Linked DNA regions of Diceros bicornis minor. The protein of the gene in region 1 interacts with the protein of each later gene in a pairwise test. Links are inferred from orthologs where the notes say so. Each region holds a gene or a part of one and is shown on either strand. Other genes may lie near its edges. The genes, in order: ATPAF2 and PKP4.

Evidence for each region.
Region 2: the proteins of ATPAF2 (region 1) and PKP4 interact in binary tests that used the Homo sapiens proteins (3 or more experiments, as listed by UniProt). The two-hybrid records come from large-scale screens. The link is inferred for Diceros bicornis minor from reciprocal best matches to the Homo sapiens genes ATPAF2 and PKP4.

What each region holds. Positions count from the first base shown.
Region 1 is NC_080757.1:1,433,851-1,442,397, reverse strand, and holds the start of ATPAF2 (ATP synthase mitochondrial F1 complex assembly factor 2), read left to right. Parts: upstream 1-4,463; 5' UTR 4,464-4,603; coding exon 4,604-4,736; intron 4,737-6,935; exon of another isoform or gene 6,936-7,039; coding exon of another isoform or gene 7,040-7,121; intron 7,122-8,547. Other genes in the region: GID4 (glucose-induced degradation protein 4 homolog), read right to left, coding at 3,780-3,968. UniProt on the Homo sapiens protein: Plays a role in the assembly of the F1 component of the mitochondrial ATP synthase (ATPase).
Region 2 is NC_080749.1:41,200,768-41,209,543, forward strand, and holds the start of PKP4 (plakophilin-4), read left to right. Parts: upstream 1-4,815; 5' UTR 4,816-4,917; intron 4,918-5,963; exon of another isoform or gene 5,964-6,009; intron 6,010-8,776. Other genes in the region: CCDC148 (coiled-coil domain-containing protein 148), read right to left, coding at 4,107-4,131. UniProt on the Homo sapiens protein: Plays a role as a regulator of Rho activity during cytokinesis. May play a role in junctional plaques.

The DNA.
Region 1 (8,547 bases):
CACATGCTCAAGAACCAGAATTTCAGTCTGGCCTCTGTTCAACCACGCGTCTCGCTCATTCTGCCCAAACTGATCCTGATGACGACTGGTGAACTCAAATACACCACAACCCAGAGAGCTTTAACCAAACGACAGGCCAGCATCTCCACAAGAAAGAGAACAAGGCAAATGTCTAGCAAAGAAGGTTTCACAGCACAGCTGTGTCCAACAGCTGCTCTTTTTAATATTTCTTTCACAGTGACCCTGGCCTTCAGTTCACTCTTGGCTTCCTGCATGGCAGAGGAGAAACAGAACAGTCACAGTAATAACAACAACAACAAAAACCCCGTCAGAATCTCACAAAGGTTTGAGGAACTCTTCAAACTGAAATCTCTAAAAAAGAAAGTGCTCCAAAAAGCACATGAAAAGATGAGCAACATATCATTAGTCATTAGGGAAATTCAAATCAAAACCACAGTGAGATACCACTTCACACCCACCAGGATGGCTACAACCAAAAAGATGAACAAGGCGCCGGCCCGGTGGCACAGTGGTTAAGCGTGCGCGCTCCACTTTGGCGGCCCGGGGTTCACAGGTTCGGATCCCGGGCGCGGACACACACACCGCTTGTCAAGCCATGCTGTGGTGGCGTCCCATATAAAGTAAGGGAAGGTGGGCATGGAAGTTAGCCCAGGGCCAATCTTTCTCAGCAAAAAGATGAGGATTGGCATCAGATGTTAGCTCAGGGCTGATCTTCCTCACACACACACACACACACACACACACAAAGACGGACAATGCAAGTGTGGAGGAGGATGTGGAGAAACTGGAACCCTCAGACACTGCTAGTGGGAATGTAAAATGGTGCAGCCACTTTGGAAATCAGTCTGGCAGTTCCTCAAAATGTTAGACATAGAGTTACCATATGACCCAGCATTCTACTCCTAGGTATAACACAAGTGAATTGAAGACATTTGTCCACTCAAAAACTTGTACATGGATGCTCACAGCAGCATTATTCATAAGAGCCAACAAGTGGAAACAACCCAAATATCCATCAACTGAGCAATGGATTAAAAAAAATGTCATATATCCACACAATGGACTATTATGCAACAATAAAAAGGAATGAAGCATTGACACATGCTGTGACATGGGTTGAACCTTAAAAACATTATACTCAGTGAAAGAAGCTAGACACAAAAGGTCACATATTGTATGATTCCATTTACATGAAATGTCCAGAATAAGCAAATCTTAGGACAAAAAAATCAGTGGTTGCATACGGTTGGAGGGGGGTGATGGCTAAGGGGTATAAGATTTCTTTTCGGGGTGATGAAAGTGTTCTAAAATTAGATTGCAGTGATGGTTTCACAACTGTGTGGATATACTAAAAACTACTGAATTGTACTCCTTAAATGGGTGAATTCTACGGTATGTGAATTATAACTCAATTAAGCTGATATGAAAAAAAGCAAGCTTGAAAGAGGCTGAGTTATAAAAGGCAGAAGTATTCTAGGAAGGTAGAGTCCAAGAAACTAGTCCTGGCTGAAAAACCAGATGATGGGGCAATTCACATGCCACTGACTTGTTTCAATGACTGACAAACAGCTCACCAATCCAGATGCAGCGCAGCATTCCTGGGCAGGACCACCCCCCGACCCGCCACAGACATCCTCCTCAAGTGGCTTCCAGCCATCGCCAGGTGTCTGCTCTGGGCTGCCCTGAGACATAGCAATCGTGCACCAACTCAATCACCGCTTCCACTGGCTCACAAGGAAACTGGCACCTGACAGGAATTCAGAAACAACACACTAATGACAGCAGTTGCCACAGTAACCAGAGCAGCCTTCTCTCTGACACTTAGCTACCATGCCAGTTGTCCCCCAACCACATCAGAAACCATCAAATTTAACAATGGGCACAAATTCAAGATCATTCCAAACACGACCACACCAGGGATCTCACTTGCAGAATTTTATAGTTACTTGAAAAAAAAAAAAAATCCTGTACTTTCATACTAAATTCTCACATTTTAAGCAAAAGGGATGGGGGATCACCACGTGAGGCCTACAATTACGAAGACAGAAATACCTCAGTCACAATAGTTTTTCACTTACAATAAATATCATGGCTCATAACAGAAGTGTAAGTTTATAGACCAAAGACACAATTAACATGAAGATGTAGTTTTCCCAGTCAAAAAAAGAGAAAAATATTTATTCCAACAAAACAGTAAGAAAAGAGAGGGTGATCAATGCTCTGCAGTTAGCAATAAGAAAATGCTCTCAGTCTTTTGGGTGGAAGATCTACTTGTTCAGAAGAGACGTTAAGATTTAAAACTTCAAAAGAGCAAAGGGCAAGCCTAAGGAAAAGACACATCCTACATTCTGTCCTCACATGGGAGCAGCAAGGCAGCAGAGTAGGACCTCAAAGCTTCTGTAAGGCCTTTCAAGGGGACAGCTGTTAGGACGGGCTTCTGGGAACAGCCTAGGAGATGGGGTGTCAGGCTAAGGATAAAGGCGCAGAGGGAGGGGGGAAGTGGGTCCTAAGGCAGGCAAGGGTAGGTAGAAAGGAGGAACAGTTTTGTAAGGAAGGGAGAGAAAAAGGAGCATTAACCACTGCCCATCTCCTTTGGCTGGGGAAAAAATGCCAAATGTGTTACCACTTGCATGAGAGGGATGAGGTGCAGGAAAGGGCCAGGGCAGGTGAAGCTGTAGTTCCAAAGCTATCAGGGGCTGGCAGCAGACACTCAGAGATCCAGGTCAAATCGGGGGAGGTGGATAGACATGAGAAGGAACTATCCATGTGAGAACTAAAACTGGGTGAGTTAGATTTCCAGTACATGGGTATCAGAGACTGGCAGGAAGCCTGGCTGTGTAGGTAAGGGTTAAGAACAGGGAAAGAGGGTCCCCTGGTGCCAAGAAAGGAGGAAGACGAAGGCATGGGGTGGGAAGATCTGGGTAGGCAGGCCAGGGAGACTGGGAGCAGACTGGAAGTGGCCAAAGAGGGGTAAGGAGTATGAGAAGCCTGGGGCAGGAGGCCTGGGTGTCCCAGCCAGGAAGAGACTGGAGCAGTAGGGGGTCCCATGACACAAGACCTAACATACTGTGAGGAGGCTCTCCCAGCAGCACCCAGGATGTGAGTGCCTGGTGTTGGGGGAGGGGGCACGAGCCAGGAATCAGTTGTAGGTTGTGGGCTCTCAGGGGCTAAAGGGGGTTGGGTGCTCCCAGATCTGAGGGGGCTGATTAAGCTTCGTCCCAAAGACGAAACCCTAGGAGGAGGAGGAGGAGGGCCCCAGAGCCTGAGGATTCCTGGGAGGGAGGAAAGGCGGCAAGGAGGCATGTCTCAGGTCTGGGAGAATCAGACATGGGCCTAGCCATGGGGAGGGTCCCGAGTCAGGAGAAATCAGTGGAGAGCTCCTCAAGATCTGAGAGGGAACGAGGGAGGGCCGATCTTTGGGCGACAGGTCATGGAGAGGAAGGACCCTGGTCTGAGGGTGGCGAGTCATAAGGGGCTTCCGGATCCCAGGCGGGCCGGTCACGGGCTTCATGTCTGGGACAGTGTTCAGGGTCTGCCAGGAGCTGCTCACGACAGGCTCCGGGTGTGAGGGGGCAGGTCAGGGTTGGGGTTCGAAGCGTGTGAGACACCAGCTGGGCAGGTCCGGGGGTGAAGCGCCGGGTGCGGGAGGCCCGGTGGCGAGGGCCTGGTCCGCGGCTGCGGGCTCGAGGAGCCGGGGGCGGGCACGGCCCGCGAGCGCCGCGAGGAGGCCCTCGGGCCCGGCCCGGCCCGGCGCTCACCTGCAGCACCACCTCTACGTCGTACGAGTTCCCCTTGCTCTTCTGGTGGCCGCGGAACTTGGAGCCGCTGTAAAGCAGGCTGGTGGCCACGCCGGGCTGCTGGGTGTTGATGGGCGGCGGCGGGATGAGCGAGGCCGCGGAGGCGGCCGAGGCACCGGCCGGCGGGGGACACTCGGTGCGGACCGGCATCGCGGGGTCCCCCGGAGCCAGGGCTGGGGGGAGGGGAGAGGAACCGCCGCCGGCGCGCGGGAGCCGCGGAGGGTGGCAGGGAGGGAGGGGCCGGGGCGCGCGCGCGCGCGTGGGGCTGGGGCGGGAGGGGGGAACCACCCGCCCGCTGCCTGCGGACCAAGCGCTCCGGCCGCCACCGGGACCCCGGGACCTGCTAGCAGGGCCTCCTGGTCCTGAGCCGAGTCCCCCTCCCCACTTGCCCTCGCACACACACCACCCCCTCCAATTGGCTCGAGCGCGCCGGGGGGGCGGGAGCAGGCTCACGCGGCGCTTCCACCCATTGGCGGGTGTAGAAAACACGTGGCGAGATGCGCGAGGGGCCCTCTGGGACTTGTAGTCTTCTTCCCGAGACGCGGCGTGGAGGGGGCGGGGCGAGGTGCGTTTGTGATGCTGATTGACTGGGGGTGTGCGCAGGATGCGCGCGCGAGCGACGGCGCGCCGTTGGTGTCATGCGGAAGATGGCGGCGTCCAGGGCAGGCTGAGGGTTCTGGGGCAGGCAGTGAGAGGTTTCCGTACAGCCGGAGCCTGCGGATCCCTTCGCTCTGTTTCCTGCTCTCAGGTTTCGCGCCTGTCGTCCTCCCAGGCCCTCGGGTGCGATGTGGAGGACCTGCCTCCGGCTGCGGGACGAGGGGCGCCGCCTCCTGAACGGGCCCCGGCGTGGCCTCATCGCCTCCGTGAGGCCGGGGCCAACCCCCCCGCCCCAAGCCCGGGCCTACGCACCCCCGACAGGTGAGGGAGGCCAGGGCACGTTCCCTTTTGGCCAGGGGCGAGCCGGGCTGAGAGGTTCGGCCGTGCAGGCAGAGGTAACCGAGTTAGGGGTCGGGCTCATGAGGTTACGCAGGTCAACAGGATCCTGTTACAGATCGGGAAAGAGAAGCCCAGGCCAGAGCAGGGACCACCCCAGGGCACAAAGCGCGTCCCGGCCGGAGTCAGTAATTGACATTTAGGAAGTGCGTCTTTTCTCAAAGCTTGTGGCTTTCCTCTCTTCAGTAAGGAAAGCAGATGTCATCGTTGTTTTGGGACAAAGAAATTCGGGTTCTGGATCAGGACTACGCCAAGGTCACAGAGCAGACTCTGCGAGTTTTGTGGAGGGCAAAGGTCGGCCTGTCTGACTGCTTTCTCTGGCCCCAGGACCCGGCGCAGAAGGGGCCTAGAACCCTGGCATTCAGTCTTCCATCCGGCCACTTTCTCCGCAGGTTTCCTGGCCCTCCCTCCTACTGCCCTACCACCTAGAAGGAGGCCTAGAAGAAGGTCGTGGCTCTTTCTTTGCTTTTGGGGAGAGGTCTTAGCTTAAGAGTGGGAGTGACTGACTCCCTTAAATGAGTGAAGAGTAGGTAACACTCTCCTTCCATTCAATTAGTTTTTCTGTGCTGAGGGCAGAAGGCACCATGGTCTTCAAGACAGACATACTTCTCACCTGGATGATGTTCACTGTCAAAGTGCAGAAAGTTATGCTATCCTGATTAAACAGCTTATAATATCCTGGATAAGGGAAGTGCAAAGAAGCTGTGAGAACACAAAGAAGCACCTACTCCCATCTTAGGGGTGTTGAGGGTCTAGAAAGGGTCTTGGGTGAAAGGATATTTAAGCTGAGTCTTGATAGATGAGTAGGAGTTTGGTGTAGAGGAGGAGGAAGAGTGTTGGGTGGCTAGAACATGTCCAGAGGTGACAGTGGGGATTGAGGGACCTTGGTGTAACACTGTCTGCTTTAGAAAATGTAGATCTCTATAGGCAGTGTGGCAGTGTGGCAGAAGTACAAATCTAGGTCTGATGCTGGCTGAACCTCTGAGGTACTGTGTGATCTTGGGCATGTGACTGCTTCCTCTGGCCTTATTTTCCTCTGTGAGTTGAAGGACTACGTTGCCTCTGAGGGTTAAGTCCCATAAGTTTATGTAGATGGGGATGATGCAGCAGGGAGCTGGGGTTTCACCTGTCAGGACCCAGGTGAAGGGCCTGGAGGTGGGCCATGAAGAGCCAGTAAAGAGGAGGAAGGAAGGGCATCTGTGATATTGGGATTTATAATAAGAAATATATATATATATTTAGTCTTCGTCCTGTCCTGGCACACATCTCCTAAAACGCTTGTAATTTACTAGGCAATAAGAGCTATAGGAGAATATTTTGTTATAGTATTTGGTCTTTTGTCCTGAAATAACTCCAGAGTGATAAAGGTGAAACGAACATCTTGTTATTCGTAACAAGCACCTTTCAACCACGTCTGACTTTATGTTAATTCGGTGACTTTTGGAAAGCCCCTAAGGATGGGGGCTGGTTGCCAGGGGACCAACCACATGATTAGAGGGTTGGAACTTTCAGCCCCACCTCCTGATCTCTGGGAAGGGGAGAGGGCTAGAGATTGACTTGATCACTAATGGCCTGTGATTTAATCAATCACGCTTATGTAATGAAGCCTCCATAAAACCCCTGAACTACGGGGTTCGGAGAGTTTCCGGGTTGTTGAACACATGGAGGTGCTAGGAAAGTGGCATGCCCAGAGAGGGCATGGAAGCTCCGTGCCCCTTTCCCCATACCTTGCCCTGTGCATCTTCCATCTGGCTGTTCCTGAGTTGTACCCTTTTATGATAAACGGGTAATCTAGTAAGTAAAATGTTTTCCTGAGTTCTGTGAGCTGCTTTAGCAAATTAATCAAACCTGAGGAGGGATCCTGGGAATCTCACATTTACAGGTCAGAAGCACAGGTGACAACCTGGACTTGCGATCGGTGTCTGAAGTGGGGCATGGGGGGAGGGGGGAATCAGTCTTGGGCTGAGCCCTTAGGCTGTGGGATCTGACACTAACTCCAGGTAGATAGCGTCAGAACTTAATTAAATTGTAGACACCAGCTGGTGTTGCAGAGTTGATTGGTGGGAAAACCCCCAAAGGAAAAGGTAAAGGCAAATAAGAGGTTTTGTGTTTTTTCCTTTACAGCATCCCAGGGAGGCGCAACACTGGCAGAGGGGACACATTCAAGAGTTCACTGAAGTTGGCATGAGCGGAGGATTAATTTAGATTAGTGGAGGCCACTTCCCGTTATGGTGGCACTTGATCTGCCATCTCCTTTTCCTTTCTACTGCAGAGCCACTAATTTAGGCTCTTGGAAGTGCCTGGTACATGGTAGGTAGTCAAACATGAAAAAAAATATGGATGAAGGAAAGAGCGAAGCACAGTGGGGGGCAGTATGTCAACCAGGCCTATGAGTGCCCTACAAAGACTTGACCAGTTTGAGACTGTGAGTCTTTGGAGTAGTGGAAGATTAAACCCAAGTTGGGCCTTCTTGACGAAGACCTCGGTTGGCAAGCAGACTGAACTTGGCTGCTTAGGAATGGCCATGCCATTGAAGGTTGTCAGGAGAGGAGGGGGTTAGGAAAGGGTCACTGAGGTGTTGGAGGAGATCTGTGTGAGGCTGTGTGGCGGTCCGTCTGTGAACCAGCTGTCAGAGATCCATCAGCTGCTTCGAGGGGAAGGTGTTCTGGAGAGGCTGCATGTCTGGCTGAGTGCAGTGCCCAGTGAAGTCACAGCCAGAAGTCTTGTCTCCTCTGTTTACAAGTTGTCTGTCACCTGGCTAAGTCATTTAGCTCCTTAGAGTCTCTGTCACCTCAGAGGCATTACCTGTCGTTTTCATAGAGTGGTCATGTTGTGTTGAGGGAGATTCCGTAGGTAAGGAGTTCAGCCTGCCACCTGTTTTTATAAATAAAGTTTTATTGGAACACAGCCATGCTTGTTCATTTACATATCATTTAGGGCTGCTTTCACTACAGTGGCAGAGCTGACTAGTTGCAACCGAGACTGCATGGCCTGCAGAGCCTAAAATATTTACTCTGGCTCTTTTTTTTTTTTTAAAGATTTTATTTATTTATTTTTTTCCCCCCAAAGCCCCAGTAGATAGTTGTATGTCACAGCTGCACATCCTTCCAGTTGCTGCATGTGAGACGCGGCCTCAGCATGGCCGGAGAGGCGGTGCGCGCCCGGGATCTGAACCTGGGCCGCCAGCAGTGGAGCGCGTGCACTTAACCGCTAAGCCATGGGGCCGGCCCTTTACTCTGGCTCTTTACAGAAAAAGTTTGCCATCCCCTGCTCTAGGTGTTAGAGCAATTTGGAAAAAGTGTGTTTTGTCACTTAGCCCATTTACATTAATTGCTATGGCAGTTACATTTGGCCTGAAGAAGTTTTTTAACGGCTGTATTGTGATATAGTTCACTTACAATTCACTCATTTAAAATGTACAATTCAGTGGTTTTTATTATACTCACAGAATTGTGCAACTGTCACCACAATCAATTCTAGAACATTTTTTTCACCCAAAAAGAAACTCTGTACGCTTTAGCTATCACCCTCCCCTTACCCTCTCTGTGCCTCCAGCCGCAGGCAACCACAACTTGACTTTTTGTCTCTGTAGATTTTCCTGGTTTGGACATTTCATATACATGGAATGTGGTCTTTTTTTTTTTTTTTTTTAAATAAGATGTGCTTTAGGGACTGGCCCGGTGGCATAGTGGTTAAGTTTGCGTGCTCCGCTTTGGCAGCCCAGGGCTTGCAGGGT
Region 2 (8,776 bases), on another chromosome or scaffold:
TTTTTAGACTGTTGCTCTTCATAGTTTAATAAGACGATCACAATATATGTTTTGTTTTGTTGTAAAATATTTGCATGATATTTTAGTAAAACTTTTTGATTATAAGGAACAGAGACTCACTAAAGGCAAACCAGGAAAAGAATAGGTTAAAGGTGATTACAAGAAACATAAATCTCGTGAAACAATAAAAAATGAATTTTATTCTGGCTTCATGGGGAGAATAGAAACCCAGAAAACATCAGCACCAAGGCAGTTGCTCACTCTGGCTCACTTGTTCTCTCAACTCCAAATTCCCAGGAGAAAAATCTGACTGGCATTGTTAAGGGTTATGGATCAATGATCAGCCAATGGACTCGCAACATTTGAATCAGGTCCTCACTGGGGCTGATACTATGGCCAGAAGATCATGAGGCACACAGGGCTGCCTACTTCAAGGGCTGTGGATATAGGTACTTGGAAACATGTCTATTATACTTACCAGATGTTTGATGCTTTTCTGATTTTATAAAGCTGTTAAATTCTCATGATACCACTGTGTTCCAAAAGACAGAACAACCTGGATGCTTCAAATGGAAAAAATGTATGTAACCCTTATTTAACCTGCTTGAATTTCAAGTGCTTTCCCCCATACATGGAGTTTTACAGCCTTAGCTCTGAACATGATAACTTCTTGCCAAAGCAATGCAGCTAGTCCTTCTCACACAGGTCTCCTCCCTCATAGAGGGGTAGAGATAGGTCCTGGTAGAGATAAGATCTTAGGCCTTTCTCTCTCAGGAGGCTACATGGCAAGAACCACTCTGCCACACATTGCCTCACTTTTCCACATTGAACTTCTAGTCTCATCTTTTTCTAATTACCTCCCAATGTTACTGATTCCAATTTTTCATTGTTGGAAGTTAAATTCTTTCAAGGACTGAAAAAAAGACTAATGAATGTCAGCTTTTCTTAGTGTAGGGAGCACTTCAGTAGTAGTCCAAGGCACAATGGAGGATATAGTCATGACCATAGATATGTATCCTATCCTCTACGAAAGAAGGCTCACACACAAATAACTACAGCATGAGGTAAAGAGTGTTAAGAGCCACAATAATATACTAAGGCAGAAATCACCCTTTCCAGAGGGCGGTAAGGTCAGGAAATTTTCAGAAAAGTCCCTACAGGTAACTATTGGCCTCTAAGGGCAGGGGAGGATTTACATATTCAGCTACTGGGCTGGAGGTGGGGCACAGCCAATTCTGAAATCCTGAGCAGAACTATTATTAAGCTCTAGCATCCCTTCTCAGGACCAGTTTATTCCACTGCTCTTTCCTTCATTTGCCATCTGCTTCTGTTTTAACATTCCTTTTAAAAACAACAAAAAAATAACTATCAGTTATCAGTGTACTTTTTGGGGTTCTTATCTTCACTGATCCCACCTTCTCCATCGACATCCAAGAATGAGAAGAGAGACAGTGTTCCTCCTTCCCCCTTTTCCTTGCTGCCTCTGCTATTCTTTTTCAGGAATTTACTACTACTCATTATGTGCTAATATGAAAATAACAAACATTGGAAAGTTACAAAGTTTTCATAATCATGAAAGGTTTAGGTTGACTTTTTTCTGGGATGGTGATTTAAAAGTTCCCTCAGATTTCCAATGTTTACTTGTGTTCTTGAGGGTGGAGCTCACCAAACCTCCTTCTTCTAACCTTTCTAAGCTTTCTAACTTGCCCTAGGCCTCACAGTCAGCCTGAGCAGAGACCCCTCTTCCCTCTTCTACTTCCCAGTAGTTAGAGGGAAGGTGGTGTAGCTAGCAGGTTAATGCTTCACTTTCTCAAGTAGGTCATTTGCATTTCTATGGACCCTCAGGGTGACAGAAACCAGTTTCTACCCTTCACCGGAAATCTGGAATTGAAGCACTGCAATTCGCAAATAAAGGGCACTTTTGTAGGAGAGAAACTTTATTGGCAAAATGAGTTAGGATTTTGAGGAGAAAGAGCACAATCTTAAAAATCGTTTCAGTTGTATTCAAGGGCCAGAACATTGGGGGTGAAAAAATAGAAGCCTCAAGAAATTCCCTTCAGACTGTTTCTTGATGAAAGGGAAGGCCAATAGATGGAGATAGAGCTAGGATAGAAGGAAGGTGGTTCACGAAAGGATATTTGTAAGGCATAGGAAAAAAACTTTGGAAGAAAGGATCTAACACATGATCTAAGAGAGAAATACTATCAACAGAGCAAAATCCTGGAGGAGGAAGGATGGCCAATATTTAGGAGCACAAATGGAGTATGAGCTTAGAAGAGAAGGGTGGACACCCCTTCTCAGCCAGGAGTGAAGCAAGTGATGAAGTGTAAAAATTAGACTGAGGTTTAGGAAAGTTAAGTTGAGGAACCTCATGGTGGATACCTCAGTCAAGTATGAGGCAAAATCATTTGCACAACTGGAAGAAGTCCAAGTACTGTGGGGGCTTATGGAGAGCAGAAATAGGACGGGCTTGGGAGAAGTGCCCTGGATAACAGCCTTGGATAAGAGTCTTGAATAATCACCCTCCTGATGAGGAAAGGAATTTAGAGAATCAATGACGACCCAGCCAAGTCTGGATAGCATCAACTTTTAGTGGAACAAAGTGATTTCTTAACCTTATCCAGCAATGCTTGATCGTGCAGGAGCAGGTCCAAAAGAAACCTTTCAACTGAGTAAAAGAATTATGGAATAAAAATGTTGAATGACAACATTTTAAAACACAAAGAGAAAAGATTATTGGAGTAAAAAAATCAATTAGTTCTTGTTTTCTTCTTTCCATGCTAGTCTAAGGCAAGAAAAAAGGAAATATCAATTTTTTCTTTCTTTTTAGACACATCTTCCATTCATTATTATTAAAAATTTTTAAAAACCAAATTATTGGCATCTTGTTAGTATATTAAAAATGAGTCTTATTCATAAAAATTTGCATTTTACTTTTTCTATTGTCCAATAAACAAACACAAAAAAGCCAGAAATTGAAAGCATGATGAGCTAATTTCCATGATGGCAAAGCAAGATGCAGCACTCCACGGCCCCTGGTGATTCCCTCCCAATTCTGGAAATGTTTAGGGGGAACACTCTCATGTTCGACTGTTTTGTTCCACAGTCCAACCCTGCATAGGATTGTCAACTAAGTTCAAATTTTACTACAAATTGTGCGAGATAATTTTCCAGTCAAGGAACCATATTAATAATTCTTATCTATTTTTTAATCTTTGATTACAGTAGATAAAAAACAATAGCAAAGCATATTATCCAACTTAAAACTCAAGACAGTAGTTAGACATATGTAGCTTGCACACAGTAATCTGTTTCTCTCAAAAAAATACTTGTAATTTCCAAAATCCTATCAGCTTTTTCACACAATGGGGTCCCTCCAACTCGAGGCACAGTAACATAAACATGTCTTCTTACTAAAGAGATTAGTATAAAAATGGCAAAATCACCAAAAGAAGGAACCTAAGAATATCAGTGGCTGTATGATAGAGCAAAATAATGCTTAAAAGTCTAATATATTCATGAAGTCCCACTTTAATAGCCAGTATCTAAATATGAAAGTTATCTACAAAGAAAAATGATATTGACAAAGTAGCACTAAGTAACTTTAAATGACAGCAGAGGACTTGTTATTAAAGCTCAAGATTTTTGTATGTACTGATTCCATGCCTCAGTTCATATCTTTATCAAATTTAGAGATAAACTGGAAAATATCCACAAAACAAAATCCATCAACTGTAATCTATTTCCTTTACTCTTTTGTGAAATCATTAGAAGGCATGAAGGACCGACCTGTGTCTTTACCCACCCTGTGATCTCTTCAACGAAGAGATGAGAGGTTTGCTTTGGGAAGCAGAGAACACATTATCTTATGTGTTGAGCCGATGACATCCATTATACAATACATCAGCCTGTTTCCTTACCAAAATATCATCCAAAGGAAATTCTCTTTGAGTCTCCCGTAGGGAGGGCTGTAATTCTGAAGACCCCCAATTTTAAGGCAAGATCCGCCCCAGGGAAGGGGGAGTGTTTGGGAAAAACAAGTGCAATTCAGGTGGATCGGTGACGTCAGGAAGAAGCGGAGATTTAAGGGACGGGTGCAAACTCACCTGGAGAAGCAGAAGCTGCACACATGTCAAAGGTCAAAGGGCACAGCCTCGGGGGCTCCCCAGACGCGGGAAAAGTGAAACGCCCACTCGTTGGCTCTCACCTTCAAGGATTCGTACAAGGGCTCAGCTGTTCCTGCCTTTGACGCCAGGGACAAACACTACCATGCACAGCTGGGGTTGACAGGAAGGCAAAGCAAAAGCTGCCCCAGATTTCAGAGCCAGCGCCCAGGAATCCCCCTATACTTCTTTCCCCCACCCCCTCCCGCGCCCAAAGCCAGAGACACCTCCATCCTCACTCGCCACCTTCTCCAGGCCCTTTCGCTCTTCACAGCATCGGTCTCTATGGCGACCTGAAACCACAGTTCCCATTGGCCCATTCAATATGAGGGCCGGGCCAATGGGGAGGACCAGCCTTCTCCTTCTGACCAATGGGGTCGGCAGCGAGCAGGTCCGGAGACGGCGGCGTGCTGACGTTCCCGGGAGCCCGGGGCTGGCTGGGCAGGCGGGCTGGCGGCTGGGCGGGCGGTGGCGGCGGCCTCTGGGCGGTAGAGGGGGCTCCGGGGCTGAGTCCGTGTCGACGCCGGCCGCGGAGGCGGCACCATGGGCACGGGGTAGAGGGGCAAGTTGGCCACCGCCGCCGCCGGGGGTGGTGGGAGAGCCGCTTCGGGGGAGGGGGCGGGTGGGGGAGGGAGGGGCGGGCAGCAGCTCGGCCGCGGCACTTTTTTAATTTTTTCGAGTGTCGCAGCGGCGACCCCTCGGAGCCGATGTCCCTGATCTGCGGAGCGACGACGGCTGCTGCCTAACCTGGAAAGTAAGTGTGCGGGCTCGCGGGCGGGCGCAGACACTCCTGCCCACGAGACCCCCGGCCCTCGCGCCCGAGCCGGGACCTGCCTGCGAGGGGCGCCGGGGGCACGGGCGCCTCCTTCTCTTTACTCCGTCCCCACCGCCGCGCGGCCGCCTCGGCTTTCCTGCCCCGCCTCGTGTTCCTGCCCGCACTCGCCTGCCTGCTCCCCTCCCCCCGGCGGGCGCACAAGTTTCACCCTCCATTTGCTTTTCCCGGCGATTACTCTCCCCGAGTCTCCCCTTCACGCCGCGCACGACCCCTCCCCACGTTGGCGTTTTCGGATCCAGAGCCCCAGCCCCAAACTTGAGCGGCACGCCGAGCCCTCCTGGACGCCAGCCCAGAGGCTTCCCTGCTCCTGCCCGCCTGGCACGCCGCCCCGCGCCCCCGGCACCCCGGCGCACCCGCCTTCCCCAGCCCTCAGGGCCGTCTGTCCGTCCCTCCAGCCCCAGATCCTGCATCCTGGCCCCCTCCCATGCTCCTGCTGCCTGCACGGTCTCGCGCCCGCCTCCTGAGTCCCGCGCTTCTGCCGGGCCTGCCCACCCCGCTCTGCCCAGTGCGCCCCTGTCTCCTCGCCGCGTATCCTCACGCTCCACCCCTCCCGTCTCCCCAGCCCGGAGCTTCCCCGGCTGTCCTCCTGCGCCGCCGCTTCCTCCTCTCCTTGCCAGGAGTTGAAGCGGAGCTGCGGCACCCCTTTGGCGGATCGCGTGTCCCTGCCGGCCGCTGGGGCTGCCCGGCCCTCTCCCCTTTGCCCCCTGCCCGGGAAGCGAGGGGGTGAGCGGCGGGGCCCAGATTTGGCTGCGTGTTGGCCGAGTGCGACAAACAGGGAGCGCAGGCAGTGGAGGCGCCGCGGCGGCCGTGGCCGCTCGGGGCGCAGCACTAGGCAGGTGTGTGTGTCCGGGGGGGACGCGCTCCGCCAGCTCCTCGGCTGGCGACAGATTGTGCAGGAATGCAAGGAATGCACCGGGGCATAGTCCACACGGCCAGCCGCGGCTGCAGTAGCGCCTTCCCGGCCCAGCTCTCGCCGCGCAGCCGGAGGTCACCGGAGCATCTTCGGAGCTGGTGAGCCTCGCTCCGCTCTTCTCTCCTCGCCTCTCTTCATGCGGCAGAGAGGGCGGCGGAGGGGGAGCGCGGCAGTTCTGTTGGGTTTCTGCTAGCCCTTCGGCTGGTTTCTGCTGCACTGGTCTCCAGGACCGCGAATTTGGGGCCAATGGCGGTGTAGCCAAGGTTATTGATCATTGCACAAGGTTCTTGGCAAGTTTGGTTTGCAAGATTTGAATATCGCCTGGTTTTTACGAGGGTTTTCTGAAAACCTGCAGGAACGGGTGTCCAAGGTTCTTAGAGTAATGAGCTTGCAGCCGACGTATTTTAGCTTTATCAAAAAATGTCTGTTAATGCTCATGGACAGGGATGTACTGCAAGAGAGATCGTGAATGCATCACTTTGCTGTCATAAGAATTGTAATTTTTTTCTCGTCATACTGGGTTGTGCTTAGACCTCTTATAATACATAATGAATAGAAACAGAGAAGCAGTGTTTAGTCAGCGATGGGACAGATAGAACTGTCTGGTACAGTTAAATTCGGGGCGTGTCAGTTACCATTGAAAGTAACACGGGGACATCACAATCATGTGTATTTCAAGATGTAATTTATTAGTTGAGGTCTGAGTTCTTTCTCTTCTTGTTACTGAGTTTGACTGAAAAATAAATACAGCTCTACAACTTTTAATGAATAATTATTTTGTAAAATCAGTAATGATTAGTATACATTTTGGGGAAAATTTTATTTTCTTTAATGCAGAAAAGCAAATTTTTCAAGGAGGTGCTTCTCTAGAATTGGGCTTAGATTCTTTTATTTTAAAAAGGAAAGTAGAAGACAGCTTCTCTTTTTGAATGCAGTGTATTGCTATAGAAGTATTTTCATTTCTGGTGCCTTTGAAGCAGTTATGGAAAATGGTAATATGAAATGAGAACCACTCATGCAAAATAAGTGTTTCTGATGTTGAAAAGCATACTGTGTGTGCTTTTATTTGACACAGTGTGCTTTGGAGGTTGAGTTTTACTGTAAGCCTCTCCACACTTGATTATTTTGTATCAGATTCAGGAAAATAGTAAGTTGATTGTCCAGCTGTCTTCCAGCACCTACTTTGTGTGGATTAAGGGAATTGAAAAGTATAAGATGAGAGTCTTTTTTAGTTAAGGACCCAACAGAATGTGGGAAAAAAAAAAAAAAAACAACTGTACTGGGAATGGTTGTGTCTTTTGGCTGCTACATTGTTTTTCAGGTACATCTGTAATCAGTGGACCTTCTAATTTAGAGATTTAACTCCAAATTAGAGTTAGTAACACTCTGTAGGATATTGGGAGGTGTTTGTAGATGCCAACAGGAAACTTATGTAACAATATCATATTACAGCAGAGTTTAACATGTGCTTATTTGATTTGATATGAAGATTAGAAAGTAAAATCGTATTTAGTTTCTCTGCTACATTAGAAATTGAAATAATCCTTTCCCGTATATAGATAATGTATATACAGGACTGGCTGTGCAAATAGTTTTACCTGCTTCAAGTAAAGGTAGGCTTTCAGTTAGAAATATATTCTATTTGTTATAAATATTTGAAGAGAGGCAGTTTTAAACTGGTGATCGTTCAAAATTGAAAATAACGTAAACTGTGTTTTGATCAAAATAACACAAACTGTGTTTTCCCTCCCCAACCCCCACTATTATATAAGGAGAAGGTGCTGCATTTCGTGTCTTGCATGTTATACTGAAGATACTAAATTGGGGAACTAAGTGTCCAGTTATCTTAATTCTTACCTGTGTTGATTTTGGAGGGAGATAGGGATCAGGGTAGTGATGGAAAGCATAAGAGAAGGTAAGCAGAAAGTAGGAGCAGTTGGCATTCATCCAGAAAAACAAAATATGTTACTGCTGCATTTATAAGCTGGATAAACCGAACCTAATTCTGCACGTAGCTCTAACATAATTTGAATTTAAAGAAACTGCTACCAAACTCAGTTTAATAAAAACTTGAGCAATTTCATGACCTTGAGTATTTGGATTAAGTCTGTATCAAGTCAGAATTGCAGCTTTCTTTCTTTTCAGAGCTATACATATTGGGAAAGTAATTGTTTTGTTTGTTTGTTTTTGTTTTTTTGTGTGTGAGGAAGATCGGCCCTGAGCTAACATCTGCCAATCCTCCTCTTTTTGAGCAGGAAGACTGGCCCTGGGCTAACATCTATGCCCATCTTCCTCCACTTTATATGGGATGCCGCCACAGTATGGGTTGCCAAGCGGTGCGTTGGTGCGCGCCCGGGATCCGAACCATCTAACCCCGGTCCCCGCAGTGGAGCACGCGCACTTAACCACTTGCGCCACTGGGCCGGCCCCAAGGGAAAGTAATTTTAGTTTAAACTTTTAAATTCACTTAATTTTTAAAAATCCAATTATTGCCAATTTTAAAACTAAATGATTTTCTTGCTGTTGACCAGGGATCAATCTAAATAGAATTTTCATATCCTGGATGATGCCAATTAATTGATAAGTCCAGTCCCTCGCCTTACTGCTTTGAATTATTAAGATATTTTGAGAATGCTCTATAATCTAATGTTTCTATTTCAATCAAGAGGTAAATCCCTAATTTGCTTTATTCTAAAATGGACATCATGCTTTCATTCTTCACTGGAAGATAAAGTCGAGGTTATTCCAGGGCATAAACATCCATGGAATTTTATGTCACTTTGGGGAAGTTGCCTTCACGCCTTCAGTGTAGTGGGAGATAATTACTTCTTCAATGTGTTAAATGGTTTTGTAGTGCCTTTCCTG